Linked DNA regions of Drosophila melanogaster. The protein of the gene in region 1 purifies or fractionates together with the protein of each later gene. This does not show direct contact. Each region holds a gene or a part of one and is shown in the gene's direction. Other genes may lie near its edges. The genes, in order: mip130, mip120 and lin-52.

What was found.
Region 2: the proteins of mip130 (region 1) and mip120 purify together in Drosophila melanogaster (affinity purification with western blotting; 2 studies listed by BioGRID). This does not show direct contact.
Region 3: the proteins of mip130 (region 1) and lin-52 purify together in Drosophila melanogaster (affinity purification with western blotting; 2 studies listed by BioGRID, with this or other methods). This does not show direct contact.

What each region holds. Positions count from the first base shown.
Region 1 is NC_004354.4:1,903,654-1,913,722, forward strand, and holds the start of mip130 (Myb-interacting protein 130), read left to right. Parts: upstream 1-4,585; 5' UTR 4,586-4,699; coding exon 4,700-4,702; exon of another isoform or gene 4,703-5,174; intron 5,175-5,266; exon of another isoform or gene 5,267-5,797; intron 5,798-6,987; exon of another isoform or gene 6,988-7,103; coding exon of another isoform or gene 7,104-10,069. Other genes in the region: Edem1 (ER degradation enhancer, mannosidase alpha-like 1), read right to left, coding at 559-628, 892-2,582, 2,653-3,781, 3,842-3,966; Rbcn-3B (Rabconnectin-3B), read left to right, coding at 7,104-10,069.
Region 2 is NT_033778.4:13,507,731-13,518,828, forward strand, and holds mip120 (Myb-interacting protein 120), read left to right. Parts: upstream 1-1,887; 5' UTR 1,888-1,966; coding exon 1,967-1,997; intron 1,998-2,058; coding exon 2,059-3,506; intron 3,507-3,564; coding exon 3,565-4,478; intron 4,479-4,566; coding exon 4,567-4,706; intron 4,707-4,773; coding exon 4,774-5,099; 3' UTR 5,100-5,382; downstream 5,383-11,098. Other genes in the region: mEFTu1 (mitochondrial translation elongation factor Tu 1), read left to right, coding at 14-1,483; CG13330 (uncharacterized protein), read left to right, coding at 7,606-7,621, 7,687-9,506; Vmat (vesicular monoamine transporter), read right to left, coding at 10,628-11,098. UniProt on the Drosophila melanogaster protein: Component of the DREAM complex, a multiprotein complex that can both act as a transcription activator or repressor depending on the context. In follicle cells, the complex plays a central role in the site-specific DNA replication at the chorion loci.
Region 3 is NC_004354.4:5,750,466-5,759,543, reverse strand, and holds lin-52 (lin-52), read left to right. Parts: upstream 1-4,585; 5' UTR 4,586-4,659; coding exon 4,660-4,699; intron 4,700-4,754; coding exon 4,755-4,928; intron 4,929-5,002; coding exon 5,003-5,107; intron 5,108-5,187; coding exon 5,188-5,342; 3' UTR 5,343-5,895; downstream 5,896-9,078. Other genes in the region: CG15771 (uncharacterized protein), read right to left, coding at 708-1,139, 1,197-1,682, 3,340-3,489; CG15772 (uncharacterized protein), read right to left, coding at 5,896-6,675; Rtel1 (regulator of telomere elongation helicase 1), read right to left, coding at 7,990-8,202, 8,271-8,480, 8,566-8,695, 8,940-9,078.

The sequences.
Region 1 (10,069 bases):
TCGATTCGTCGTAAATTTTAGCCTAATCGAATCTAATTGAATACATAAATACGGAAATAAATCAATTTAATTACAATACAGCCAACAACAGTCATCGCAAATAGTTTACACGCACACAAGCACTCGAACCATTATTATTACAGATATAAATTTGTTTAAGCCTTGGTAAGGTATTGAGAAAACCTCAAGAGTTGCGGGTTCATATGCTAATTAAATTAATTGTCGGCACAAGTAGGACCACTTAAGGTTCTTTAGCTATACATATTTTTGGAAGTTCTATTATCATATCTTAACTGAGCTTTAAAAAATCGCTGGTAAACATGATTGTACAAGAAGTTGAAATTCCTGGAAATGGTTTGGTAATTGCATACATATGTACGTACATATATGTACATAGCTTACAATTTAAACGATAGAAAAGTACAAAGTACAGCACTGCAAATATCATGATCGGCAACATATCAGAAAACCGTTAGAGGTGATGGTTCTCTTTCGTTATCTAAGTTCCCCTCCTCTCGCGCTGTCTTCATCTTGTACTTTCGCGCTTGCCGCTTTGGCTTAGCGCTCTGTCCTTTTCGCTCTGCAATTGAGTCGCTCATTGTCATGCGCGCATCGACGCCGAACTTTGCTAAAAAAAAAAAAATATACCATGATCGTTCGAAATCGTTACCAGAAAAAACGTCTTTTAATTTTGCAAAAATAAGTTAATAAAAGGGCCCAACAGCCCACTTTTCAATCGCCATCGGAAATAGAGCAGTTGGGAATAAAATCTGCGTGAGACTTATCTATGTGGTTGCCCAGTCACCAGAGCGAATACCCCTAAGTAACTAAATACATACATATCTATCTACAGATCAGTCGTGTTGGTCGGTGAGGTGATTGCGAGCTTACAGCGCTTCCGGATAAAAGTCCCGATAGGCGAATCCCTCAATGTACTCCGGCCGGTGGCAGGCGAACAGATGGTGGGGTAACTCCTTGCGGGCGTACTTCTCCAGTGCCTTGCGCGTATTTTCCTGGAGCACGGCCTCGTCAAATTTGACCCGCTGCACCGTGGTCTTCCGAAGGATGGTCTGCACCAACTGCGACCACACGCAGCCGGACTCCTCTTCACCCAATCCGGAGCCGTTTTCGGCAAGCTTTCCTTTTTGAATTTGTGTCGACTGCTTCTCTTCCTGGCTCGGCTCCGGCTGCTGTGCAGGCGCCGCCATCTGGGCTTTGGTTTGAGTGTAGACTGTGGACGCATCTGCGGCCTGAGAGTCGGTAGTGGCCTCTTTCCTTTTGGGTGGCGGAATGTCCTGCATGAGCGTCTGCAATCGATCAACTGTCTCCGCCATTCGTTTCCGAAAGTCCACTATTCGACGGGCGTAGCTGAAGAGGGCTCGCTCCTCCGCCAACTTTAATGGCCTTTTACGTGCTTCCTCACTTAGTTCTCCGTCTTCCAAAAGTGGGTGAATGCGAACACCGGCCTCCGAAGTGCCACTGAGGTAGATTCGGATAGCAAATTCCTGCATGGCCGAAGTATTGACCATGGCTATGGCATAGGCATTACGTGCTTTTAGAATAACTTCTCTTATATGAGCCAACTGGGGCGAGGAGGTATTGGACACTCTTGTTTCGAGATCTTGTAGATCCATATGCTCCAAGTGAGCCGACTTATCCAGGCTGTCCAACACCTCTGTCAAATGGCTAGGTATCCGGTCACCGTCCGCCGGAAAGGTTAGCAAACCTAATCCTTGAATCACTCGGATGTTGGCCACATATTGCTGCTGCAGTTCGTACAGCTGCCAAAGGGTCCTCATTCGAGACTCATACTCTTTCTGGGCGCCTGTGCCCAATACACTACTCATATTAGTATCGTACAGTTGCAAGCCCCGTATAAAGGCTACATCCATGGTATAGTTGCCCATGAAGGTCTTTACATAGTTAAGAGCCTCGGAGGCGCTTGCGAAACTCTCCCGTCGCTGAGCAAAGAATTCATCCAAATCGCTGACTGTCAACTGGTTTCGTGCCACCACGTTTCTGTGCAGGCTCTCGTTTAGCTCCCGCTCCTCGCGTATCTGCTCGAAGTTGCTTACTAACAGATCGCCGGCGGGCTGTTGAAATTCGTCGAACACCTCAATATCTACGGCCATGGTAGTGCTTGTGCCGGATTGCTCGCGTTCCTGCTCTTTTTCAGAGTCCTGCGCCTGCACACTCTCATCCTCTTTATTAAAGAACTCGTTGTTCTCTGGGTGACACTGCGGCACCCACTGTTCCTGAACAGCTACCTGCCGCTTTTTGCTCCTCTCTAATATCGCCCGTGGACTAAACCGCTGTAGATCCAGAGAGGTGTAGATGTCCTCGTTGTGGGCGTGGCAACAGTGGAGGGCTGACATGTCCATGGGATGAGCCTCTGTGTTGAAGATGTACGCACCGGCCTGTACCACGCATACATCATCCTCGGTTGACAGCAGCTCGCCTCCGGACCCATCGTTGTGCAGGAAGTTTTCCTCGTCAAACAGCAGATAAAGGTACTTGCTTGTTTCCGCCAGGAAGAATGACTCCATGCGATTCTCCTTTTCGTGGGTGACAACATTGCGAATCTGGAAAATAATGCAAGTATATATTAATTAATTTTAAGTTCTTAAAAAGCTTGTTCACAGAACTTCTCACCGTTGCATATCCGCATTTGGTTTTGGCACTGAACTCCAAGGTCTCCAGCATGTGCTCACCAAACTCCAGAAGATACTCGTTTCCTGTGGCTCGATAGAGATACATAGCTGACTCGATTAGCTCCGGTCGCAGGGGGTACACCTCCCGATTCGGCGATGCCTCTCCAGCAGCAATGTTATAAAACTCTGGCAGAAAGCCGTACTTCTTCCAGACCCCAATGTACCGTGATATGGTGCGCAAGGCCGGCTCCGTGTCGCCAATAATGCTCAGGATGCCGGGCCAAAACGCCTCCAGGGACTGAAAGACGGGAAGGGTGACGCGGCCTTTGTTCATGCCTACCCACACGTACCAGTCCTCCTTCCGCATGTACTTATCAATGGCCGCGCGAGCCTCATGGAATAACTCCAAGAGTTCTGGGCGATTGAGCAGGACAGATGCCTTAACTAGGTATTCAAAAAGGGAATCCACTCCTGCTCCGATACCAGAGTCGAGGGCGGTCCAACGACCGCTCTGCACGTCGATGTGATTGCCAAAAAGTCCAATGGGCGAGCGATATGCCCATAGAGCATGTACCGCCTTCATAGCAACATCCTCGTAGATGGTTTTCCCGGTCAACCGGCTAAGGGTACCAAATTCGATGAGGAATGTCCCCACGCCCGCCGTACAGGTTATAGAGGTCTCGCCCTTGGGCACGCCATAGCGCAGGTTCACCGTGCCATAAGGCATACCCGTGTTCGTGACGAAGGCTGGCAATAATCGTCGGGCCACATCCTCCGCCAGTCGCAGCAGAGGTCCCTTGCAGGGCCATCCTGGCTCTAGCTCTACGCCAGCACGCTTGGAGAGCAGATGCGCGGACAGCAGCCCGCCCACGATGCGGATGTTTGTCTCGAACACGGACACGTTGATGTCCCTGTCAAAATCCATCTTCTCCTCGAGCAGTCTTGCCGCGCGGCGGAATTCCGTGAAGTTGCCCATGGTGGCCAGCGTGTCCAGAGCGTCGATCAGTGTCAAGGAGTAGCTGCCCCAGGTGTCGTGGCCATCGCAGGTCAGCGGACGCAGTTCATCGTAGTTGGAGGCGTGGCGCAGGTAACCATCGTAGGCGTGCTGGAACATGCGCCGCACATCCTCCCTGCAGATTCATTGCCGGTTAGGATTAGTATGTCCGAGTTTAGCCCTAGCAATGACCCACCTCAGTTCCAACTTTCTTGCCTTGGAATACTGCTTCTGGCCGCTGACACCGGTGGACAGCAGGACGAGGAGGACCGCGCAGATGAGGGTGCCCGGATAGCCGTTGTTTCGGGGTTTTTGCTGCATCGTGGGACAGTCAATCAATCAGGGCCGCTAATTCAATTATGGGCATGGTCAGTGTTCCATAGCCAGCGTGGATGTGGGATGTGTGGAAGTCAAATGCGGCTACGTTGACGCAAAATCACAACAAGGGCTGATTCGGCGGTGGCATCGACCGCCGAATGCCCTACTAATTCCGTTCGGTGAGTGTTTTTTTATAGAGCGCTTAGAGTAGCAAACGGGGGAAAGAACACAAGCCAAAGAGCTTTTTTAAGGTAACAACCAAACACTATAGGCTAGCAAACACTGTATTCTCCGCCAATTCTGAAGTACGTTAATTTTACCCAACAAAATCCCTAGCAATAGGATATGTCATTCCGTAGGGTGCAATCAGCTGTTGCTGATCGAATAACTATCGAAAGGGTGGTCAGATCGAATTTGCATGGTGGTCATTGCTTGTTAAAGGAATACAACAGCTCAGAATAGCCGTAAAATCAGCGCGGCAATATTAAAGTCGGGTTGGAAAAATTAAATGGCAATTTCTTTAAGAATTCAAAAAGTTTGTGATGACAAATATACCGATTGTTTGTCACTGCTTTGCGCGGCACACGTTCCTTTATACTTTTATTCGCGTCGAGTTGGCAGCACATACCAGTTTTTTTTGTGGCCATTCAAAAGTGTGTGTTCGTACGGGTAAAAAGTGATTTAAATTCAAAATATTCAGCGAAACGACCGCCTCCAATAGAAGCAACTGTACCCTATGGTAAGTAACTGCCCTCTGCACCCGTTTCACACCCGGACATCCTCCGGATGAGCTGACCAAGAAATCCGCAGCCTTTGTTACGCTTCCGACTGCGAATTGCAGTTCTGGCGATGGGCAGCGATGTGTTTCGGTTTTGAATCATTCTCCGCGTAAAAAAAACTCAGAAAGAGGGTCGACTATAACCTCGCGGAGTAACTGCATCACGGCCCGTGTGCCTTTTGTACTCCGCGTAAGGCGATCGTTTAAATGCAATCGCGTATGCTTAATTGTCCGTTGGGCGAAAAGTAACAACATTGTGGGTCTATACATGCGGGATTGCCTCTGGCTGACCAGAAACCACATTGAAACCATCCCGTTGACCGTAGATATAAGCGTGTGCCATTTGGGATCTGGAAATCGTGTTTCCACCCAGTTGTTTGCATATTTATAAACAATTAAAGAAAAATATTAAATTTTTTGGTCAGGGCTGTCGCCCCTCGCATGGCATCGATAGAAGAGCGTCCGGAGCTGCGGTTGCAACCCTATCCGCTCACGCAAATCTATCGAAAAATTTTACTCCACGGTCGATTTTCGTTGCTTTTTTTTCACACTCGTGTAAAAAAAAAGGAAATAGCTAAGTAAATCGAAAGTACAGTGCAGTGTTTTGATCCCGTGGAGTGCATGTTCCAGCGGAAAGTGTGTGCAACAAATATGAGCAGTTCGCAAAAGTGGCGAGCAAAAGCAATAACAAAGTAGCAACAGCAACGCAACGTGTGTGTGTTGTAAGCAATCTGTACAGCGGAAAGGTGTTGGTGTGTTGGTGTGCTCGGGGGGTGGTGTGCGTTTCGCCCGTCCCGTGTCCATAAATTAGAATCAAATCGAATCGAAATCGACATTGAAGTCCGCTGCTCCGCCACCGCGATGTCCGTCGACCAGGATCAATAAGCAGCGTCACCACCAGTAGCGGACCATCATTAAGTTCTCCATATCGAGAGCAGGCTGACTCGGAATCGAACTCGGATTCGGAATTGGAATTGGAATTGGCATCGGAATCGGAATCCATAGCGGAGGAATCACGCGCGGCAGCCAGCCCAATACGGAAAACTGCTGAAAAATGTTAGATAAATGCCCAGTTATCTACAATTATTATGGCTTGTCCCTGTGTGCGTGTCCAGGTGTGAGGGTGTGTGTGTTTGTGTGCGATAGCAGAAGCAAAATCCGCTCAAATTGCGATGCCAAATAGTCGGCCAATTAATTGATCTTTCAATTGGCGACATCAGGCGCCCTCCCATATACCCAGCTCCGCACGAAACCCGATATATATCCGCGGATTGAGTCTCTGCTTTTGCCGCACATATGTATTGTATAACCCTTGTTTATCTTTGGACAATCCGAGGTGGAGTGGAGTACAGTGGAGGCTGGCCAAGTTGGACACATGTGCCGATAAGGTGGCGTGTGCTGGAACGAGTGTCCCCTGTAATGCGGTCTTATCTGAAGAGCTTTGCAGGTCACTCCGACTGACAAATTCACCTGCAAGCTAGGAGGGGAAAGCCCTGTGAAGAACTCTCTAACACGATAAAGTCATATTCCTGATTGATACAACTATAACACACAGAAATCACTATCAGACCAGAGAACCAGCTCGCAAGACCCAAGACTGTAGCTATACCAAATAATCTATCCATAAAAATAGGAAGTTCTTATCTTATCACATACTCTAGGTAAAGATTTAAGATGGATCTCTATAAATACTTTTGAATTTACAACCCAATTTGTTATGCTTCTCCTGTAAGTGGCCCAAAAATCGTCAGTTAAGCATATGAAAAGTCTCGACAATGTGGCTGCACTTTGTTCCTTTAATTGTTCTTATATTGTTTACAAATTGCATAAGCTGTAAATGTAAACTTTGCTTAGTTCGATTTCGCTTATTCCCGAAGTCTGTTTAAACATTCAACAGGAAATGAGAAACTGAGCTTGTTTATAAAACGTTAGGCAACATTACCCCTTTTGCCATTCATCTTTTCCATTAAGAACGCCATATAAATTCAGTTTTCAATTTACATCGTACAGCTGTGGGTTGTAGAGCACTATTAGCTGCTAGGAAAGCAGGTTGAATAAAATGATGATGAGAAATCACAGAATTCGAAGGACCTTGGGTGAGTCACTGACTAGCAGCTTTCACTGCACCATCCACGCACTCAAAGCCGACCACAACTGGAGTTCATACACACACAGGGGCCACCATAAATAATTCGCATCCACTAGGTGGAAGTGAGCAAATGTTTACTCAATAACTATTCTTGCAGAGCCCGCAGTCGCAGCAAAGCAACGATTACCAGCGACACGAGCAGGGAGCAGAAGGAAGCCGGCGGAGGAGGAGAAGAAGGAGAGCCACCGCACAGATTGGGTAAAGCGCACCACCATGGTGAGTACCAATCTGGTGGTACCCGTGGTGCTGTGGGGTCCCACCGCGCCCACGCACTGCATCTCTAGCGTGTTCCTCTCGGACGATCAGTTTACCCTGGTCACCGGCTGCTACGATGGACAGATCTGCCTTTGGCAAGTGGAGCCCACCACCCTGAAGATGTCGCCGCGGTGCCTCTTGGTGGGCCATTCGGCGCCCGTTTTGTGCTTAGTGCGTGCCTCGCTTCTGCCGGAGAACAACTTCCTGGTCAGCTCGTCTGAGAACGGAGAGATGTGCACCTGGGATCTTACGGACGGCAAGTGCATGGAGGCGGTCAAGCTTCCACAGGTGCACACCCAAATTCAGAGCTACCACACCGCCAACAGCGAGGATGTGCGCCTCTTTTGCATTGGCTACTATGCTGAAATCATGGTCATGGATCCGTTCAGCCTAGAGGTGATCTACGTGCTCAGCTCAAAGGTCAAACCGGATTGGATATCCGCTATTCACGTACTGCGCCCCATGCGTCGCAAGGATGACGTAGTGTTGGCCATCACCACCACCGGAACCGTGAAGGTCTGGACTCTGACGGGTAACGAGAACAAACACGCGGAGCCCATTTACGAGAACGAATCCAAGGAGATCCGCTGCCTGAATGCCATCACCATGAATTGCTGCGCCCAGAACCAGCGCACAGTGCTCTTAGTTTGTACCAAATACTGGCAGATCTACGATGCCGGCGACTTCACTGTACTCTGCTCCGTAATTGCTCCCGCAAGGGAACGTTGGCAGGGCGGCGACTTCATCACCTCCGACCGGGTAATGCTATGGACAGATGAGGGAAAGGGCTACTTGTACAAGCTGCCCGCAAACTGCATTCCCGACAACAAGGAGTTCCACTCGAAGAGTGTGGTCAGGGATGCACCTTACCTCTACTACGTGTTGCAACACGCCGGTGATAAGGTGCTGTCGTGCCCCCCAGCCATGAAGTTGCTTCAGGGCGCCGGTGGCCAGCACAATCTACTGCGCGGAGACTCCGAGGGATACATCTCTGTCTGGAATGTGCCGGAGGTGCCGTTAGACAATATTAGCATACTGCAGGCCAAACAGATGCCGCCGCGACCCCTCAAGCCGCACGTGTGCACTTCGTTGGTCGAGGCGTGGTCCATAATGGATCCACCACCAGTGGGCATCCTGGATCAGCTCTCCCGCATCACAGAATCGCCGGTGAAGCTCACCTCGAGCATCTATCTGCCACAGCAGAGTCGCCTGGTGATCGGACGCGAGGATGGCAGCATAGTCATAGTGCCAGCCACCCAGACAGTGATGATGCAGCTGCTGGTGGGCATCAAGCAAAACTTCAGCGATTGGCCCTCGCATCAGATCCTCTACGGTCATCGTGGAAGGGTCAATTGCCTGCTCTGCCCCTCGATGATTCACTCGAGATATGAGAAGTCGCATCTACTTTCCGGCGGCATCGATTTCGCCGTGTGTCTGTGGGATCTGTACAGCGGAAGCTTACTGCATAGGTTTTGCGTTCATGCGGGTGAGATCACACAACTGCTGGTGCCGCCAGAGAGCTGTAGTCCAAGAATCCTGAAATGCATATGTTCGGTGGCCTCGGACCATTCCGTTACGCTAGTGTCCCTTCAGGAGCGCAAGTGTGTGACCCTGGCAAGCAGACATCTATTCCCTGTGGTTACCATTAAATGGCGTCCCCTGGACGACTTTCTAATCGTAGGCTGTTCCGATGGCAGCGTGTATGTGTGGCAAATGGAAACGGGTCACCTCGATCGAGTGCTTCACGGGATGCTGGCAGAGGAAGTCCTTTCCGCTTGCGATGAACAGGCGGAGGATGGCGGCTCGGGCGGCGGCGGTGGTTCCAATGGTGCATCTGCCAGCGAGATGGGTATGGCCAATCCGGCAGTGCACTTCTTCCGTGGCCTGAAGTCGCGCAACATGAATGCAATCCGTCATGCTACCCAGCGCGGGATTACGCAACTCCAGCAACTTCAGGGTCATAACCAAGGAAACTTCGACTTTCTGATGAAACACCGCAGCAATCCTTTAGTGATCCAGGGTCTTCGTACTAATCCTAAGGACGCGGAGAGCCACATACTTTTCTTTGACATCGAGGGACTGATCTTCGAATTGCATAGCGAGGAATACGCACAGATGACACCAGCTACCTTGGAATCACTTGGTGTCCACCTGCAGAATCCCAAAGATGGCAAATCGATGCATTTGGATGCTAGCAAGAAGATCGGTGACTTCTTCAACAAGGTGAAGAACAAGGCCGTAGATGTGGAGAAGATCCTGAAGGACAAAGACAAACACGGGCTGGTGCAGAAGTTCAAGGAGAAAACTGAGATTGTCGAGAAGAAAGTACAGGCCAAGGTGGAGAGCCTGCAAAAGGCAGTAGAGCCGCACGAGGAGCAGCAGGACCTGAAGAGCAAAATCGCTTCCAAGATGGAGGTTACGCATGTTATGGAGGTAGCCCAGCTACTTCTTTCGCTGCTCCATTCTTGGGGCCTAGATCCACATCTAGACAAGATGTGCGAGACGCGCTTGGGCCTGCTTAGACCCATTGTGCCCATCTCATACGGAGTGCTTTCCAAGGCCGGCTATATGTCGCTGCTGCTGCCCACATGGCAGAACAACTATGCCATACCACCCGGTATCCAGCTTCCCTCCAGTTCCAAGAAGCGCCCGCTGCCAGAGGAGCTGCAGCGCTTGGAGCATCTCACGGCTGTTTTCACATCCCGTCTGCATTGGGAGCTCAGCACTACGTTGACCACCAACCATATTCTTGCGCTGGTGGCCATGTCCAATACGCTGCTGTCGATGAGTGCGGCCTCCTTTCTGCCGGACAGCGAGAAGCACAAGAAGCTGCAGCGCTTGGCCCAGCGCACGGACTCCACATTGAGCAACGAGGAGGAGCGCGAGGAGCTGATGGCCCACCACATCTCTCAAATCAAGCACGC
Region 2 (11,098 bases), on another chromosome or scaffold:
GAAGCCCAGAACCATGTCACATGCATTTGCCGCCGCCGTCTGCCGGTCCACCGCATCCATGTCATTGGCCCTGCGCTGCAGCCGGCGCGCCATGAGCTCTGCCAGAATGCTGCGTATGGCGGGTGCCACTGCCACCTCCACGGCCTGCAAGGATTGGCAGAGAAACGGACTACTTGCTGCGCCCAGAACCGGCAACATGCAGCAGTACCTGCGCGAGTACGCCAACGAGAAGAAGGTGTTCGAGCGAACCAAGCCCCATTGCAATGTGGGCACCATTGGCCATGTGGATCACGGCAAGACCACGCTCACGGCGGCCATTACCAAGGTCCTGGCCGACAAGCAGCTGGCCGAGAGCAAGAAGTACAATGAAATCGACAATGCGCCCGAGGAGAAGGCTCGTGGTATTACCATCAATGTAGCCCACGTGGAGTACCAGACGGAGACGCGTCACTACGGCCACACAGATTGTCCGGGACATGCCGATTATATTAAGAACATGATCACCGGCACAGCCCAGATGGATGGCGCCATTCTCGTTGTGGCCGCCACCGATGGCGCCATGCCCCAAACTCGCGAGCATATGCTGCTAGCCAAGCAGATCGGCATTGATCACATCGTGGTGTTCATCAACAAGGTGGACGCCGCCGATGAGGAGATGGTCGACCTGGTGGAGATGGAGATCCGAGAGCTGCTTACCGAGATGGGCTATGATGGTGACAAGATCCCTGTGGTAAAGGGCTCGGCGCTGTGCGCCCTCGAGGACAAGAGTCCCGAGATCGGCAAGGAGGCGATCCTGAAACTGCTCCAGGAGGTGGATAGCTTCATCCCCACGCCTGTGCGCGAGCTGGACAAGCCCTTCCTGCTGCCTGTTGAGAATGTGTATTCGATTCCCGGACGCGGCACCGTCGTCACTGGTCGCCTGGAGCGCGGAGTGGTCAAGAAGGGCATGGAGTGCGAGTTCGTGGGCTATAACAAGGTGCTGAAGTCGACGGTGACGGGCGTGGAGATGTTCCACCAGATTCTGGAGGAGGCGCAAGCCGGTGATCAGCTGGGAGCTCTGGTGCGCGGCGTTAAGCGAGATGACATCAAGCGCGGCATGGTCATGTGCAAGCCGGGCAGTGTGAAGGCACTCGATCAGCTGGAGGCCCAGGTGTACATCCTGTCCAAGGATGAAGGCGGTCGCACAAAGCCCTTCATGTCCTTCATCCAACTGCAGATGTTCTCCCGCACCTGGGACTGTGCCGTGCAGGTGCAGATTCCCGATAAGGAGATGGTCATGCCCGGCGAAGACACCAAGCTCATTCTGCGCCTCATCCGGCCAATGGTCCTGGAGCAGGGACAACGCTTCACGCTGCGTGACGGAAACCTGACCCTGGGCACTGGTGTCGTCACCAGCACTCTGCCCCCATTGACTGAATCGCAGCGATCCGAGTTGACGGAGGGCAAGAAGGCGCGCGAGAAGAAGGTGGCGGCTAAGAAGTAGATCCCCGGAACGCCGTCAGTCATTAACTAAAATCATATTCTTAAGCGATTTTTATGCATATTGTATAAGTTGTTGGCGCTCCAATCACAATCGAGTAAAATATAAACAAACACCTATGGACAACGAAGTTTTAAAACTTGGAATATTAGTAGGGATCTTAAAATTGATTTAAAATAGTACGGCTTTTAAGTATTACTGTTGTTGCCTGACATTTCGGCATTTCAAAGGACTATTTGTTATATAAAGTTATGTAAGTAAGCATTGATCATTGATAAAGGGCAATATTTAATTTAGGCGCCACTCATCGATTGCTTATCGCTCTATGTTAACGGCATCCGAAATAGAGTGGTATCGAAATGGAGCCGATAAAATCAAACAAGGCCGATAATAACCTGACTACGACATTTTACAACACTGCTGCAACCGCCTTGAACGCAGCTGATGATAAAGAACATTTTGAAATTGATTTGAAAATTGGCAAAAATGAGTACCTACCGCGTAGACTACTTGACCGGTAGATTCAAGCACCGTAAACGTTTGTTTGCAAAGTAATTAATAACTTATTTTGTCCGCAGATTCCCTAGACGACACGGAACCATTGCCGGAGCTGAGTTTTGAAGACTTTTTGGAGCCAACGTCGGAGAAGAGTTCCCAGCACATGGAAATCGAAGCTCTGGACTCAGAGGAAGACAATATCGGCGGTGAAGATCTGGCCGATCCGGCCAACGATTCCCTGAACACGCCGCAGTTTAAGAAGAACGTGGTCCACATACTGGAGGACAAGAGGTTAAACTCGTCCGGACTAACCGTTTTGAAGTCGCACGCCATTAAGATGGTGACTGCCGGAGGTACTCCTCCGGCCAAGGCGCAAGTTACAGACGTAAAGATACTAAACAAATTGAAACCAATACCCAGCAGTACGCTAAAGATCGGTAGCACGACCATAGCGACCAAATCCACACCGGGCAGCATAACCAAGACTTTGGGCAACTTGACCCAGATTAGGACGAAAGATGGCCAAGTCATCTTTGTCCAGAAGTCTGTTCCTGGAACACAAAGCAGCACTGCGGTGACAGGGTCACCAAGCGGTGGAATAAGACGCCTCGTGGCGCCTTCTGGTATCCAGAAGGCAGTGCTTTCTAAGGGCGTGACCATGGCAAGCACGGGTCTGGTCAAGGCGGCTGTTCCTGCCAAAGCAAGCACCTCGGTACCCGGCTCAGCCATAACCTTAAAGGGCATCCAACCGCTGGCCGGAGGCACTGCGAAGGCGTCGACTTCCAGCACGACGGCAACCACATCCCCATCTTTGGCACAGCCCAACAAAATTCAGGTGGTGCGCACTGCCGATGGCAAAATTATCAAGATCAATCAGGCTGGTCCCTCACTGCTGGTGAACGCCAAACAGGGAACTGGGACCACAGTCACACCAGGAGGTTCTGCCGCCACTTCTGTCAAACTATCTCCCTCCACGGGAAATGTGGTGCTCAACAAGCCCGTTGGCCAGGTAGTGGTGAGAACAGAAACTCCTGTAAAAACGGCGACGGGCTCCGTTGCCAGTGCATCCGCAACACCGGGCAAGATGTTGGTTCAAAGTGGCGGCAAACAGATTCTTGTATCCAACAAGAACATCATTAAGCTGTCGCCGAATGCGAGTGCCACCAGTTCGACAACCCACACGACGGGCGGACAGACACCTTCCACCTCGAGCGGATTGCACGCTATTCAGCTGCCTGGCAAGGGAGGAATACAATATGTACGTGTCCTGAACAACAATAAGAGTGCCGCCGGAACAAGTGCAACAGCCTCAATCCCGAAAACAGTGCAAACTCAGAAGATCACTGTGGTGCGGCCACCGGCTGCTACTGGTGTTCCTGCCACATCTACTACAACATCCGCAGCAGCAGCTTCACCTGCAGCCGCATCGAAGGCAAACCTTGCCATGGGCAACACTAACAAGATTGTAATGCGATCAATGGGTGGCAGCATTGTGCCGCTGCCTTCCGTGCAGACGTTGGTCTCAAAGGTTGGTACTTGTGTTGGTACAAATTTATTTCATTCTAACTCAATTTCCATCTTTAAAGCGTGCGCTGGGCGCCATCTCCAACGCTTCAAAACCAGCCAGTGCGGCGAGCAGCAGCGCCACGCCGAGTGCCAGCCAGGAGTTGCCACGCAAACACCGTCTTACTGATCTCAATGTGCAGCTAAAGCAATCGGCCTCGGTCAGCAGTGAAGCTAGCGACAGCAGCGATGCGGGTCCTGAGGCCAAAAAGCCGCGTTACGTTATTACCATGCAGCAAGGATCACAGAAGGCAGCTTCCCAGCCAGTTCAGAAACTAATTAATCGGACAGCGAATGTACAGCGTGTGGTGTCTAGCAGTACAAGTCCCAGTTCCAACTCCACAAAGAAAATCTACAACTATGTTCAACCGACTGGAAGCAATGGGGCCAAGTACATGATCTGTAACTCGGGTGTGCCCCAATCATCGACGAGTGCCATGCGACGGGGATACACTGGATATGTGGAAAACAAGACGCGACGCCCGCCACCCATTTCCCCGCAACAGCACCGCTTTAAGCAGATGGGTCCCCAGCAGCAGTCCAAGCACCAGCAACTTCAAGCGCAGGCCAAGCAACGGATTAGACAGCAGCAACTGCCTACCGAACAATCGACGCCGATCAAGGTCGAGCCAAAGTTGCCGACACTGCCTCCGGGGGTGAAGGCCAATGTACCTGCCAAGCCGCTCTTTGAAGTCCTAAAACCTCCAGCAACCGCGGCAGCAGCCGGAGCCGTCGATCCATTGGGCGGCATGACTTCGCGGCGAAAGCACTGCAACTGCAGCAAGTCGCAGTGTCTAAAGCTTTACTGCGATTGCTTTGCAAACGGCGAGTTTTGTCAGGACTGCACCTGCAAGGATTGCTTTAACAATCTGGACTACGAAGTGGAGCGGGAGCGTGCTATTCGCAGCTGCCTCGATCGTAACCCCAGCGCCTTTAAGTAAGTTTATTTGAAAGGAAAAGCTTATGAGGTCTATCCTATGTTTCTAAAGATGCTAATCACAACTACTTTTTTTTTTTTTAAACAGACCCAAAATTACGGCACCCAATTCAGGTGATATGCGTCTGCATAACAAAGGTTGCAACTGCAAAAGATCGGGCTGCCTCAAGAACTATTGTGAGTGCTATGAGGCAAAGATTCCCTGCTCCAGCATATGTAAATGCGTTGGTAAGTGAACTGATAAATCTGTTTTATCTATGATCAAACTAACTGAATCAATCAACTTATTATTTAGGGTGTCGAAACATGGAAGACCGTCCGGACGTGGACATGGACTCTCTGGACGGATTGATGGGTGTCGAGGGTCAGAAAAAGGACAAAGCTAAAAACAAGCAATTGAACGAGAATCGCGCAAATATATATTTTACGGACGATGTCATTGAGGCGACCATCATGTGCATGATATCGCGGATTGTGATGCACGAGAAACAGAATGTGGCCGTGGAGGACATGGAGCGCGAGGTTATGGAGGAAATGGGCGAAAGTCTGACACAGATCATCGCTTTTGCCAAGGAAAAGCAAGAAACCTCTCAGATAGACGAGTCCAAGCCTTCTTCTTAGGCATGCAAATATAGTCACACATTAATTAGTTTATAAGTTCAAAGAGTTCTTGACCTTTTCTCAATCATATTCTAATTTTGGCTTTCTAAAAGTTGACCTTAAAGTAAAGTGTTTACCCTATTTAAATAATTTAAACACAAAATGTATATATCATACATAGCAAATTTCAGATATAAGGCTATTTTAATTTTTGGCCGAGCATTGTAATTGTGTTGTAAACTTTTCCCTTGGATTGAATGTAAATAATTTAGATACCTAATAAAGTTTAATGACCATTGAACACAAATGAAAAGAGACGTTGTGTTGTTTTGTAGCTTGTTTATTCACCAACAACTTCAGTTACATATTTGTATTTTGCATTTGCATTGTTTCAAATTTATTGATGGGCGAGTATATTAAACTCAACGCAATTTAGTTTGGTTTTTCACAATATCGGTATCAGCTTAGTTAGCAATATCTCTATAAAATAAACACATGTCGAATGACTACAGTATAGGTAATGCATATATTAGTTGATTGTATTGATAGTAGGTATTTAGTTTTGTATATATGTAGTTTTTTTTGTTTAAGTATAGTTATATATTCTACTTGGTCACCATTGGTATGTATAAATAGCATATAAGTATGTTTGTGTTCTGGTTTCTCCCGGTTCTCACCCTATAAACATGGCATGGCATGACATGAGTACATATGTGTGTATGTATGTAGTTTCAAGGTTTGAGTAAAAATGTGATAATCGTTTAAGGACTATAGTACATATACGTGGTTAGTAATGCTAATATATATATATATATATATGCCCTGTTATACATATTTTTCATACACTGTTTTGACTAATATGCTCGCGCTAAACTATACGTTTTATTTGCGGTCATTCGAATACGAACTTTTTCGAAGAGAGAGTATGTGTGTGCGATTATCTTAAATAGCAAATACATACAGTAAACGTTGAGTATATCGATTTAAGGATAGTTTTGAATATTTGAATACTGTGCACAAAACGCTTTGGTTAGTTGCATTAGCATTGTTTGTTTGTTTGACCCCATACCAGCTTTTTTTTCTTGTGAATTGTTAGTTACGTAACACTTATGCAACATTTGAACATAGTTAGGCAACAATAACGATTTGATTACGCATAATATATATGTATTTGTATTGAGAGTATGCTGAACTATTCAGTTAGAAGCTATATTGTCTAATTCACACGTTTATATTGAATGCTGGGCCCCCAGAAGGGGAGCTAAAGCATAAACTTACACAACAACTTTATGAAAACCGAACAAAACCATTTGCTAAATATCGTATATGTACGTTGGATTTGCATACCCTGTACAATGTCTTTTTCTTAGGTTGTCGTAATATTGTATATGCAATCATTGAAGAGTACCTTAATTGTTAAACGCGTGTTGCATGATTGAATTCGGCAATTCTTCAAAGCGTGAAAAGTCATAACGAACACAGCGTAGAATTTATGGATATTAGTTGAGTAATTCATCTTTCACAACAATAGAACAACGATGATAATCAGCAAGTATTTCAGCTATTCGTATATACAGTTTGTCAATATAACCTCATTGTATACCTGCGATTAACTACATTTTGTCGGCTTTCTTTAAACTTTTTCGACCATTACAGAGCTATAGTTTACTTTACACTACTTTCGATTAGAATTGCTGGGACTATATGCGTTCAAAATAATGATTTTCATTGCCCAAATGAAGAGGAGCATTAGTTTTAAAGAGGATTTTACGTGGTGATCACAACGCTTAAGGACACTTGCAGCCATTCAAGTGCCTTGCGGCAATATCCTTACGATCCAATACGATCTGGTTAAGTGACGAAATAATGTCGGTAATATTTATGGGCTAAGATCCGAAACTTTGGGTGGGAAGAATTGAAGTTATAATCAGTGGGTACTAGTCTAAATTTTGTAGAACACCCAATTTAGCGACTTTATTCCTCACTAGATAATTGCAAACTAAAATACAACTTAAGACTTCTATTCAAAATTGTGAACGCTTATAGACCCTGTATATATTTTTAGATTCTATGGAATGGTGTTTATATTCCACGTACCATTTGGCACCAAAAGCCTATCAAATATTCCCTTTTTTTGTCAGATAACTTGTGTGTGTGCTAATGTGGGCAACAATTTTACAAGATTCAATGATTATATATATATATACTTTATTTAACTTTAACAACTTGAAATATGAAATTGATTTACTTAAGGAAGGTGGGCTTCCGTTGTGGAGTAGTGCCCATTAATTCCGTCCAATTTCTACGCCGTATTGCCAAAAAGTTTTAATGGATTTCAGTAGCGAGAATCATATAGACAGAACCGAAAACCAAAGTTACCTGGGTTTTCGGTTCTAGACCTATGAAAAAAAAATTTATTTATTTGGACTCATTTGAATATATTCTAAAAAATAAAATCCAATTTATATGATTGGCACGCTAATTTCGAACTCGCATACCTTGGAAAACTCAAAATTATCAGCCCCAAATGAATCGTATATCGAGTGAGTTGCTGTTCCAGGTTCAAAGCACTGTCAAAACTAATTCCCAGGGCCTTCTTTTGTCCCAGATCCTTCGCGTCGCCAGGCGAGTGACGTCTTCATTGGTGACCCCTTCAAAATTCACTCATACAACTTTCGCTATGCCGACAAGCCATTTTATCCGGTCCAGAACTATCAAAGACCTCCGGCGGCACCGACTCCGCCGGCACTGGTGAAGAAGGCCTCCTTCCAGACCTTCTACCACAATCCCAGATTCAGCCAGGATCCCGAGTACATTCCGGCAAAAAAGAGTCCACAAACTAGCTCCTATAGGCGTCGCCTTTTGCTGGAATCTATGGATATGCCCTTGGGATCTACGGTGACAACGCCGGAGAGACAGAGTGTACCGGTGGCTCCGCAGACGAAGCGTTCTCCCACAGCCACGGATTCGCCGCTCCTCAGGACATGCTGTCAAAGTGTGCGCTACGAGGCTATGAGACGGGGTCCAAGCAACACGACTTTGTGCCAGAGTACCACGAATCTCATACGATCAGCTGGCGGCGGTGTGCCTTCTACTTCAACCACCACCTTCTCCATGGACTCCAACGCCCATCTGCAGAACAGAAGAAGCGGCTGCGGTATCAGCATCGACATCTGCAGTGTGGGTTCGCAATCTGAGGTGGACAACAATGTGAGCATCCAGATCGCAACGGATGCCTATCTGCTGAACAATACGGACAAGGTGAGGACCAAGTCCAAACCGGTGCGCTGTACGCCCAGATCCAGCGGCACCTTTGGCATCGACAAGCGACTGTCCAAGTTCAATGTGAGCGAGACGAAACCTCGGACGAGTCCGGAATGGGAGCTCCGGCAGAGAGAGAAGGCACGAGAAGCGGAGCGCCAACAAAAACGGGAGCGGGATCGACAGTTGTTGGAGGACCGACGCTTGGAGCAGGAGAGGGAACTTCAGGAGGAGCGAGAGCGTGCCCGCCAGCGGGAGCGAGATCGTGAGCAGCTCCGCCAGTTGGAGCGCATGCGAGATGAGGAGCGACTCCTAGAGTTGGAAGTGGAGCGCGAGAGGCAGCGATTGCGGGAACTAGAGCGGGAAAACCAGCGGCACAGAGAATACGAGCGGCTGTGTGCCCTCCAGGAGCAGGCGCGTCGGGAGCAAATGGATCTACTGTGCCAAGAGAACATACCTCCCCGACCGTCAGTTCCAATGACCTCGCACTTGTACACAACCACCTCTGATGATCGTTTGCCCGGAATGGCCTTTTGTGATCTATCGTCCCGAAGGTCACGTCGATTGGAGAATCCGACCAGACCGAAAGAAAGACGGAAGACTAGAGTATGTCAGGATCCTAGAAGTGTCTCGTCCGCTACCCGTTCACTTACTCCCCCGCCGATCCTTACCCGGAATAGCAGCTCCCCATCACCCTCTTCAGAAGCGCCGTCTTCTACACCCACCTCCCGTTCCTCATCTCCAAATCGCAGGTCAAACCGCTGCTTCAGTTCAACACCTAATCCCGATTCCCAACGATTCCCTCCTACAATTCCAAGAGATCTAGTTCGCAGTAGTTCGGGAACTTCGAATGGCAATGTCCATGTCACAGTGACCACCACCGGGCGACGGAGCAACTGCAGCATGAGGCGTTCATCCAATGACCGGGCTAGTGAGCAAAAGCAGCTAAATGGAAACCAAACCTGCGTCGCCTGTCTGAATAATATGCCCATTAGGATAACCACATCTCGGTCCAGGGATACGGATCTAGCCTTCAGTCTGAACCATGTGAGGATGAGGGGATCATCACCAGCGCCCACGGAAAGGAGCAGCAGTCAGGAAAGCCAAGATTCCTGTCAGGTTAACATCAGCGTGTATGCGGATAAACTGCGTTTGATGCGTTTATAATAATATAAGGGAAAAGTGGGGGATTATATGTGTGATTTTTGGAACAGATCATCTCTAGAATATAGAGCTAAGCTGTTCCAGAAGACGCTCATATACTCCCCTAACTTTTCTATATTAGAATAGCGCCAAAATTAGTTGTATCATTGCTGTTTTTTTGACTTTTAAATGTTCTTAACTAAGCTAAATCCGAAAATTATATTCCAAACTATAGTTTCTATATGTTCCTCGCTTCTTGGGATTCCTCCATTAAATCATTGCAATTGCGGGCGTCTGCTTGTTGGATCGGCAATTAATCCTTCCCTGCTGGGAGTAGAGTCTTCCAAAGAAGGACTCTCACAAGCTCATTAAGCTCTTCGTACAGTCACATCATGCTATATCTGTACTTAAAAAAAAAATACATTTTGAGATAGTTTCCAAACCTTTTGGCCACTAAATTGCCTCCAATATGTAGTAGGGTTCTTAGGATCCTTACTTATTTTTATTTCTTTCTACCCGTCTCATCGAACTTCTGGCTCATCACAGAGCCCTGCTTTCACTCAACTTTCTCTTTCTTTATCTTCACAAATTTGTGTGCTCTACTTTAACATGTGCAAAGTTTTTGGGGGAGGTTACTTCTTGATATGGTATAATACTATAGTGCAACTTGGGTAAAACATTGAACAAGAATAACGATTTGGATTGGATTTTCATATGATATTACTGATATTGTTGGTTGTGGTTACGGTTACTCTCTGATCTTTTCTTTTTTTTCTTGATTTTATTACCCGTTTTTTTTTTTTTTGATTTTTGGTTGCACTTTTGGCAACATTGCGTTGTAGTTAAATCGTTTGCTTATTCGTCTTCCTCGTAGTTTTGATAGGTTACATAACGTACCTGAGCCCGATCGCGTCCATAGATCAAAGACTGCAATCACAGAAATGAAATGGAAAAGGGTATGGGTTAGTCTAATGCATTTCCTAGAATGATTTTGTATCGTGCAAAATGAAACTCAGGCAGCGCTTTAAATAAAAATTAATAGTTTTATTACAAACAAATTAAGCTGAACTTAGGGCTAAAAACAATGATAATGACTAAGTATACGAAAAATAATAATAAATTAAAATTAAGCAATGTATCGAGACTCAAAGCCTCTCGCTCTCGTACGCCTCGTTCGTCCTGCCCGCCTCGGCATCCGAATCGGGAACAGATGCACCATGCATGATGGCCGGGCAGGATGCGGTCATCTGGGGTATTCCAGAGAATTCCCCTGAAGCGGCAGCAGCGGCTGCAGCAGCCTCAGCCGCCTCTCTGGCCATACGTACCTTCTTCTCGTCGCTGGTCGGCGGATTCTTGAGCAGCGTCAGCAATGGAGCATACATAAAGCAGAGTATGGCAATTCCAAACAACATCCACTCGAAGCCGATGCTCTTCACCAGCGATCCAGATAAGGCGGGACCCACGGCGAAGCCAACACAGAAGGCCACATCACCCAGGGCGTAAACGCTGCCGTAGACCGCCGAGTGTCGGATGTCCACCAGATAGCCCAGTTCCGGCATCATCGACGAGTCCACCATTCCAATGGCAAAGCCAAGTCCTGCATTCGGGATGATCAG
Region 3 (9,078 bases), 3.8 Mb from region 1:
CAACAGCTGCGAGAGGCCGCGATTACAATACCCGGACTAAAGGCTACGACTAAGACAATAGTTAACATTCACGTACTTGTACTTGTGATTCGGTTATTCGTGTCGTTTCTTTTGTATTTCTTGTGTGTGGTGTTGTTTTTTTTTTTTTTTATCAGAGGTTCTGTAAGAGGTTCGTGTTGTGGTTTCGATCTGCTTTACTGTATCGTTTTTACGGGCTTCTTTTTTCATTGTTTTATTGTTCGCGTTTTACGTTTACCTTGACGTACTTTCAGTTGCGTGTTATATCAATTTACAAAATATGTGACAGAAAATTCGCTTAGAAAAATACATTTGGTTGCTTTGCTTTGCTTTGCTTCCTGTCCTCTGATTTCATATTTGTTTTCTTTTGTTCCATGTACTTGTTGGCCGTAGTAGTTTGTGTGCTCCGATGCTGTTTGCTAGCCTTAATTTTAGTTTAATGGCAGATAGCGAGATTCACCGTGCTTCCGGGCTCCTCCCGCTAATAGTTGAACTTTAAATTCCTGCACTCGTTTCCAATTCTCCTGGCTGTCCTTCTTCGTGATCCATCCGTGAATATTACTCCCGTTCTACGATCATCAATCCTCAATCCTCTTTAGCTATAGTTTTGTAAACTGAAGGTACATTTTTCAACAATCTCTCGTCATTCGTATCGATTCATTCGATACTCAACACATCCTCCGCACTGCCTACAGAAAACTGTCGCAGCTGTTCTCCGCCTCGCTATTGGAGCAATCCATGGCGGGCAGTGAAACGCCTCGTCGATAAAGCCACTGCCTCTGATGATGATGATGATGATGCTGCTGCTGCTGCTCCTGGTGCTGCTGGTGGTGGTGGTGATGGTATCCATGGCCAGCACCCGGCACACAAATGGCGCTGGAGCTGCTTCCGCTGCCGGAGCCCTGGCTAATGGGACTCATGTGGCTGCCACGTCTTCTGGAAACCGACGGCATCTCGGGCAGAGCGACTGAGTTGAGGCGCGGAAAGTACTTGTACATCTCCAGCAGGCTGCCCAGCTTGACGTGCGGCTTGTACTCCACATCCTCTAGCGATTGTGCCGCCGCGCTGCTATTGCTTAGTGGCGTCCAGAATGTGAGACCCAGCTGGGCCAAGTGACCGCCCTAAAAGCGAAATAGATCAGTTGCTAGTGAGCACATTTATGAGTAGCCACAACTCACCTTGATGTCGGTCTCCAGTTTGTCGCCGATCATGACGCACTCCTGCGGCTTGACATTGAGAAAGTTGCAGGCGGCATAGAAGATCTCCGGATGCGGTTTCTCCCATGGCAGATCCGATGAGACCAGCACGCAGTCAAAGTAGCCGCGCACATTCAGCTCAGCCACCTTCTCCCACTGAGCGTTCGACGGTCCGTTGGTGATGAGGGCCAGGGCATAGCCTGCCTGGCGCATCCGCAGCAGCAGCTGGACATAGTCCGCCGGAACGGCTAGGTAGCGATACCGCAACTTCAGCCACTTGGGATAGATCTGTTCCGCCAGGTGCTTGTGGCGCGCTGGAAGGGATTCGCGCCACAGGTGAGTGCGCCACGAGTCCAGCGATGTTTGCGAGTTATCGGGACAGCGGCGGAAGGCCTTTAGAAAGTTTTGGGTGGCCTGTGTTGCGTCATCTTTGCTGAACTGGTATTGGGTCTCCAGAAAATCAGCGAGCTAAGAACGAAATTGGAAAAGGGTTGGCAATTCGCATTATTATTGCGTTACATAAATTCAAAAATATACAAAATTGCGTAGATGTGATAGTGCCGTAAAAACCTCAACCGCGATAAAACTATAAATACGCTATGACGAATTAAAGACGAGATAAGTTAAGAACTTTCACGCAATAAGAAGTGAACAACCTGAAAGTAGAGTTAATATTAATAAAAGCGATTAGAAGCCTCAATACGTGCATAATCTTTTGCGAAACGCGGTAGAACGTAAATCAAAACTATTACGTCCATAAAGTTCTCAATTAAGCGTCAGATTGACCAATCCAATCATTCGATCGAATCCGAAGCCAATTGATTAATTCCAAAATTGTTATAGCATCGCCGTACTATCAGGGGATTGAACATCAAACTGCAATTGCCGCCGGTACACTTGCAGCATGAGTAATATATGAGAATATACTATATTTTATGATCGCAATGATAGCTTGGAAATTTCCACTCGCTATCTATTTTCCGGCCCAACCATCCGCATCTATTGAATCGTACTCAAATCAGGAAGCTAAGCTCACAAAAGTCATTTTGAATGCTAGGAATTTAAGTTGAAATCATTGCGATTAGTCACAAAAACTGTCATGAGTTCCGAAATATAAATGGGCGTGGCTTCGCTCGCTAAGAATTGAAAGCAACTGAATAAAGAAACCGTCTTATTTGGGGTCTTCAAACATTGAGCGTATTGAAACATGAACGTGATAATGAAGTTAACTATCTAAATTGGCGCAGCTTAAAAGATAACGATATAATCTGGAATGCAAGAGTGAGTAAATGTACGTGACATTGAACACATTTTCAAGAATACCTATTTATACCTTTCTCTCTTGAAGGGAAAATTCTAAAAACTTTAACCTTTTAAGATCGCAAATAGACTCATTTATTGTAATAAATAAAGTCAATGGCCTCTGAACGTTCAAACAAGTACATATTGCGAAGTGCTACCTATTATCATCAATTAACCTTTAGCTTCTTTGTGTGCCATTCACTTTATAAGAAGGTTATATTTCAAAAGAAACCATTGACGCGGGTTTCCAAAGTTTGTTGGTATGACGTTTCGTTCAACTTTTGTTAAGTGCAAGTTCCTCGATTTCCGACCTTTTTGCAATCGTTTGCAATCGATAATGCGCACCACGATAAGATCCTGTAAAGTGCCTTTTAACATTTCGAAAACCGAAGATTCCGAATTTCCAACGTAATGCCGATTATTTAGTGGGTTTTAGCCTTCTAAAGTGCATGTACCCGTGGTTATATTTAAGTTAAGACCTTGTCGAGTGCACTCTGAGTTTTTCTTTTTTGTTTTTTTTTTTTTTGTGGCTGGGGGATGTGAAGGGAAGGGAAAGGAAATCAATCGGAACGCAAATAAACAATCGAAATTTCGGGCGCGTGCTATCTGCCGAGCGTCCGGGTTTTTTCGACTACGTAACAACGGGCGGGCTGCAGTGGAAAATTTTCTAGCTGGGTCGCCCGCCTGCTGCGCACTTTCACCTCCCCCGCCCCGCCCCCCCACAAACACTACATGGAAAAGAAACGGAAGAAACGCCAACGGATTGGTGATTGGCAGAGGGGGCAGTGAGGCTGTCTGCCTTGGCTTGGTTAACAAAGCTCACCTTTCTGATCGCCTTGGAATCGCCGGCTCTGGTGGGAATCAACGTGTTGTCCAGGTCAAAGTAAAAGGCCCTGATTTTCGCACATGTCGCATCGAAATGTGAATGTGTGGCTGTCAATTGCTTGCCGCAATGGAATTTGCTAGCTGCCATGAGAGTCGTCGAGCGGAGGGGGGGATGGAGGGTCAGCGAGGGGTCACTGTCAGGAGTGGAGGGGTGGTAGCCGGTTGCTTGGTTAGATGGATGGATGCAAACGTAGAGATCCAAGAACAACTTTGGTGCAATTCAATCCGCCAGCGGATTTGCGCTTTGAAATTGGCGCCAAACGAAACGAAACGAAATGTACGAGCTGCACGACTGCAGCAGCACTGCAGTATTTTTCTATTTTCCTCGAGCGGACTGGCAAAAGTTTCCGCTTCTCGCGCGGCGAAGTTAAAACGGCAACTGAATGACAGCGACAAAAAAAATAATGAAACGGAACGGGAGCGGTCGCAGTAATGTCGAGAGACGGGGTAGCGGGGCGGCGGAACAGGTGAGCGCGTGTGTATGAGTGCTTGTTGACTGAGTGAGAGCGGAGCAGCGAATGAAAAACCGAAAGAAAGTGCGAGGGCGCATGGGAAAACAGTGGTGGCCAAAAGTCTGCGTATGCGAACAGTGCTACCAGGCGGCGGCGCCAATTGATAAAAACTTGATAAGATATTGTTATTCCTTAAGATTTTATATTATTATTAAGATGTTCTTGAATAAGTTTATTTCAATAACTGGTTAGACATCCGTGTTGTGTTGTTCTGGACAACTACTGCGCAGCACATGTGCTTTTTACGGGCACATATTTTTTGGCGCCACTGTGCGAAGTGTGCCAAGTGCCGTTTGCGCGCCAGAGCGAACGAGAGCAGGCGACCTAGCGCAGAGTTGTCTCTATGCGCCGTTAAACGACCGTGAGTGGAAAAGAGAGCACGATAGAGGTCGCGGAGAGGTTCGCGTTTCTCTGCTACGACGCCTGCTCTCCACTCTGAATTTAGTATAAGTCGAGGCACGCTCATTTCCTAATTGTTGTGCCATTTATTTTTAACTTCTATTAATAAAACCAGGAAAAGCAATAACAACAGTTCTTTGTTTACCAAAAATATCAGTTGTTTTATACTTCCTGGTGCTTTCTAGCACTGGCTTGGCGGTAAATCGATAGTATTCGATAGTGATTGTTGAAAGTGGCAACGCTATAGTTTTTGTTTAACGAGGTGGCAAGTGATTAGCCCACGGATTTTTTGGCATCTTTCCGTGTTTATTTTCAATAGTTTTTGGAGTTTTTCAACATTATCCGCGATGAGCAACGCAGAGACAACTACGGATTTGCTTTCTACAGGTGAGTAAATATTTAAATCACATGAAAGGCGCCATAAAACGAGGTTTTCTTGCAGAAACCATTCTAAAAGCGGCGGACGAGGAAGTGGAGAAGGCTTCAGCGTCCAGCAGTAGTACGTTATTGGCCGAAAAGGATGTCCCGGAGGTCAAGGAGCGGCCCATAACGCCGGAAGACGAGCTCATCTCCATGGAAACTCTGCGACCCTCACCTGTCCAATGGCCAGAGCGTTGTAAGTGTAGAAAACGTGAGCACGAAGAAATTGGCGCCATTTTTAACGCATATCTTTATTTTCGATTGCTCCAGTTCCCGGAATGGACGAGTTCCTCTCCATGAGCGACACGCCGATGTACACGCGCAGCACCAACTACACCAGCAATCTGACCGATGATGATATGGTTAAGATTAATGGTAAGTAGCTGCAAAGTCAATGAGATTTAAGAATAGTATATTAAAGAATAGCATATCCATTACCTACTTTTCTATTCCAGAACTAGCCCAGCTCCCTCCCGAGGATCTGATCGATAAAATAAAGTCAATGCATGATGAAATTTACCAGCTGGGACTGCGTGAGGCAATGGAGATGACTCGTGGGAAACTGCTGGGCATCTTTGACCGGGATCGCGCTCCTAAGCGGCAGCCATGAGGCTGGATGATCCGATCCCTAAGAATGGGACTGTCGAGGATCTCGTTGAATTCGCATTAGGAACATAGGTGTAGTTTCATAGTGTACATAGTGCTATTTTTATAGTGAGTAATGCGTGTTGTGAATGATTTATCGCTATTTTACAAAGATAAATAGGCAGGCGTTTGAACAGTAACTAACGTTTATTTCCATTAAAGCATTTTGGGTCCTACACGTCGCTTGTATTACAGATACATTTGAGGAGTCGGAGGAGAGATGAAGTTGACGGATTGGAGGGAAAGGAATGCAGAAGGATCTGGAGTTTTTGGAGAAGGCACAGTAGATTTCGCTATGCAGGGACATTAACGCAACAAATAACTCTGTCTATGTGGGATTGGATGGATCGGTTGCGCTCTAGTGCGTCCTATTAATACTTAACTAAATGCTTTCGTTCGGATTTATGCAGTAGCCTTCCCCACGATCCATCCCAATTTGGGAAAGTGTGTTGGTGCTGATGGTGTGCTTACATGCTGTTTCCCGTGAATATATATCCAGTAACGTGCATCAATTCCCATTACTCCTGCCACTGCATTCCGAATCGCTGCTCAAAGGTGATCCGGTTAAAGACGCCCGCATCGGCCAGCTGCAAGGGATCGGTGTAGTACGCAAAACGCCGTATATCCAGCATGGCCAGGTCGAACATTTGCTTCCAGCTGGTCAAATCTGTAACGCTCATGTGGATCGGCAGCTGGGGATCCGGTATATCGATGGCCGCCTGCAGACGGTCAAACGCCTCGGCAATTGGTCCCACCGATAGATTAACCCAGTACTCCGCTGGAAAGCGCTTGTTCTCACAAAACGGCGCTCCCTTGCGCATGATGAAGACCAGCATGAGTATCTCATAGCGCTCGGAGCTCTCATAGAAGCGCTTGGTTCGGGTCTTCTCCACGAAATCGATGAGAAGGATCAGGGGAGTGTAGTTCTGGAGGTGCATCAACAGCTCCCGGTCGGTCCAAAGGTAACGGCCGCCTTTGACGGTCAGCAGGCTCATGTTGCTGGCGAGTTGTTGATGCTGCTGCTGCTGCTGTTGCTGCTGCAGCTGGTGGTGTTGCTGCTGCTGAAGGTGTTGCTGTTGCTGCTGCTGATGTTGGTGTTGCTGCTGCTGTTGCTGCTGGTGTTGCTGGTGCTGCTGCTGCTGGTGTTGCTGCTGCTGGTGCTGCTGGTGTTGCTGCTGCTGATGCTGCTGGTGAATGCCGCCGGCGGATGGGGCTGGAGTTCCGGTGTTGGATGCCACCTGGCTGGGCATGGCGACCACAATGCCCGTCTGTCTCTGGCAGCCAATCTCCTCCACCATGTGCGCTGCAATGACGACAAAATGCATTTAAGGCAAGTGCCTAAACCAGGCCAAGGTCGCTGCGTTGGCCAAACACCCAGCCACCCCCTGCCCGCCCTCATTATTACTTGTTGCAAATAGCGAGCAGCGAAGAGCGAACGTGCAGCAAGTCAAAGGCTATGGCAATTGCAATTGCAATCAACTTACTGCGTGCCCCAATCAAAGCGGCAGAAATTATGTGTGTATTTATGAGGCGGATGGATCAGCGGGTCTGGATTTGGATCGGGGTACGAATGTGGCCCCCAAGAAGCAGCGGCCTATCTCCTCCGGCAGCTCTGCGTGTTTGCCGTGCGCCCTGGACGATTGTTGCCACGCGAGTGCCTTCCCAAGTCCGAAGTCGGAGCCACTCGGACCCGCATTCTCGTTGCACTCGGGCTCAGTTTTCTCGGTGACTCGGTCGCGCCAGCCGATGGGCATGTGTGGATGTGCATATAGGGACTCGGCCCGTTTGGCAATGAACTTATTGGATGCGTTCTGCGCTGGCTGCGGTTCGCAGATTTGTTACCAAGCGGGCTGCCAACTCTAAAATGTATGCCCCCCAAGCGGTAGATTAAAAAATAAATGTGAAAAACATATATGTAAGCAGTCTACAAAAAAGTAATTTTATGTTTTTAAGACAAGAACTTAAAAGTCTTAGCATTAGTCAATTTCCTATGATATCTTATCTATTTATCATGCTTAAAAATATATAAAATAAACATATATTGTACATATATATATATTATTATACAAATTGAGTTCATATTTAAATACGATATGTAAGATTTGAAGAGTTTTCGAGCACCCTGTTCTATTCGCCTTTGATTTGATTGAAAGCTTATTAAAGCTCATCAGCTTATCAGCAAACGAAATCGAAGTTTGATGCACATAAAAGTGGTATTAAATTTCCAATAAAGGTAGACTGTTGATTTAAGTCAACCTTGAGCGGTAAATAAATAAACAGATTGGGAAAACATAATGCACATAATGCAAACGGTTTTGAGTAACTGCATTTGCATTTAATATGACCCCACATTTTCCCACAAAGCTATAAACAATATCATGATTAACGTATAATTTTTAATAGTAATAAACATCCGTACAGAGAAATTCAAAATGCATGTACAACAATGCATAGCATTGTTAATAATATATATTCTTAGGAGAATTAGACGCGCCCCACTAAATACAATCAGAAAATTACAGCCAATGTCAATAAATTTGAAAAAAAAAAAATAACATATCCTTGGGACGACTAAACTTGAAAACTCTTTTACATAGTCACCTAACCCTTTGTTAAAGATTGCCCACCCTACGATCAAACTCGTCCTTGTGCTCGTTCTTTAGATACTTCCGCATCCCGACGAGCATGTAGCGCACTTTGGGTGCGGACAGGACATCCAGGAGTATGGCCATCAGGGCCTGAAAGCTCTCATAGGTGCCATTCTTGTACTCCAGCAGCGCCTTGCCAAAGCGGCGGAATTGATCTTGGGTGACCAGGCTGCGTAGCTGCAATTCAAGGTAAATTAATTAGTAGTAGTAGTAGTAGTATGGAAGAAGTCTCGAAGGTATCTCACCTCCCGGAGAAACGCGGCCCTTTCCTCGGGTGCCTCCTTAGCCTGCGAACTACTTGGCTCCACCTTGATGTTCTCCACCAACTTGTATCGCTTTTTGGTCACCTGGCTGGAGGATTCCGGCGCCGTTGGTGAGCTTCGCTCCCGCTTGTGAATCTTCACCAGACCAGAGGAGCCACTTTTACTATCTGTGCAGCAGTTGAAATCGATACTCTGGGAAAGGGGCAAAACAAGAACAAGTCCTAAAGAACTAAATAAACACAGTGTAATAATAGATTCATGGGAATCTCGTGTTTACCGAGACATTTGAGTCCAGTCGACTCATAAAGTCCATGGCATTCGGCGCCGCACCACCCAATTTATGTCCAGCGGCACTCGCATAATCGGCGGGTGTCCATGTCTTGATGGAATTGGCCATCTCCACTTTGCTACAAAGAAAAATAATAAATATTTCAAAGTGTCAATACCAGGAGAAAGGCAAACGAAAGTTTATTTACCCTGGCAGTGATGACAAAAGGCCACTGGAAATGGCTTACAGCATTTCACTTTAGCTATGACAAATCTCAAAAATTGTACTCAAGACTACTTAAATCCGATTAAGGATTTGCTATTAATAATTGTAATACAATCTATACAGCTGATAAGGTTGATCTTAGATCGCAGGTTACGTACATTGCGGATTCATTGGCTGATTTGAAGGTGGCATTGGAGCCAGGCTCCCGTTTCACTTTTGGAATGGCGGCTAGTGGTTCATCCTCTGTCTTGCAGACGGTTTCCAAAGGCGAATCGGTTTCCCTTTCATCCGGTAGTT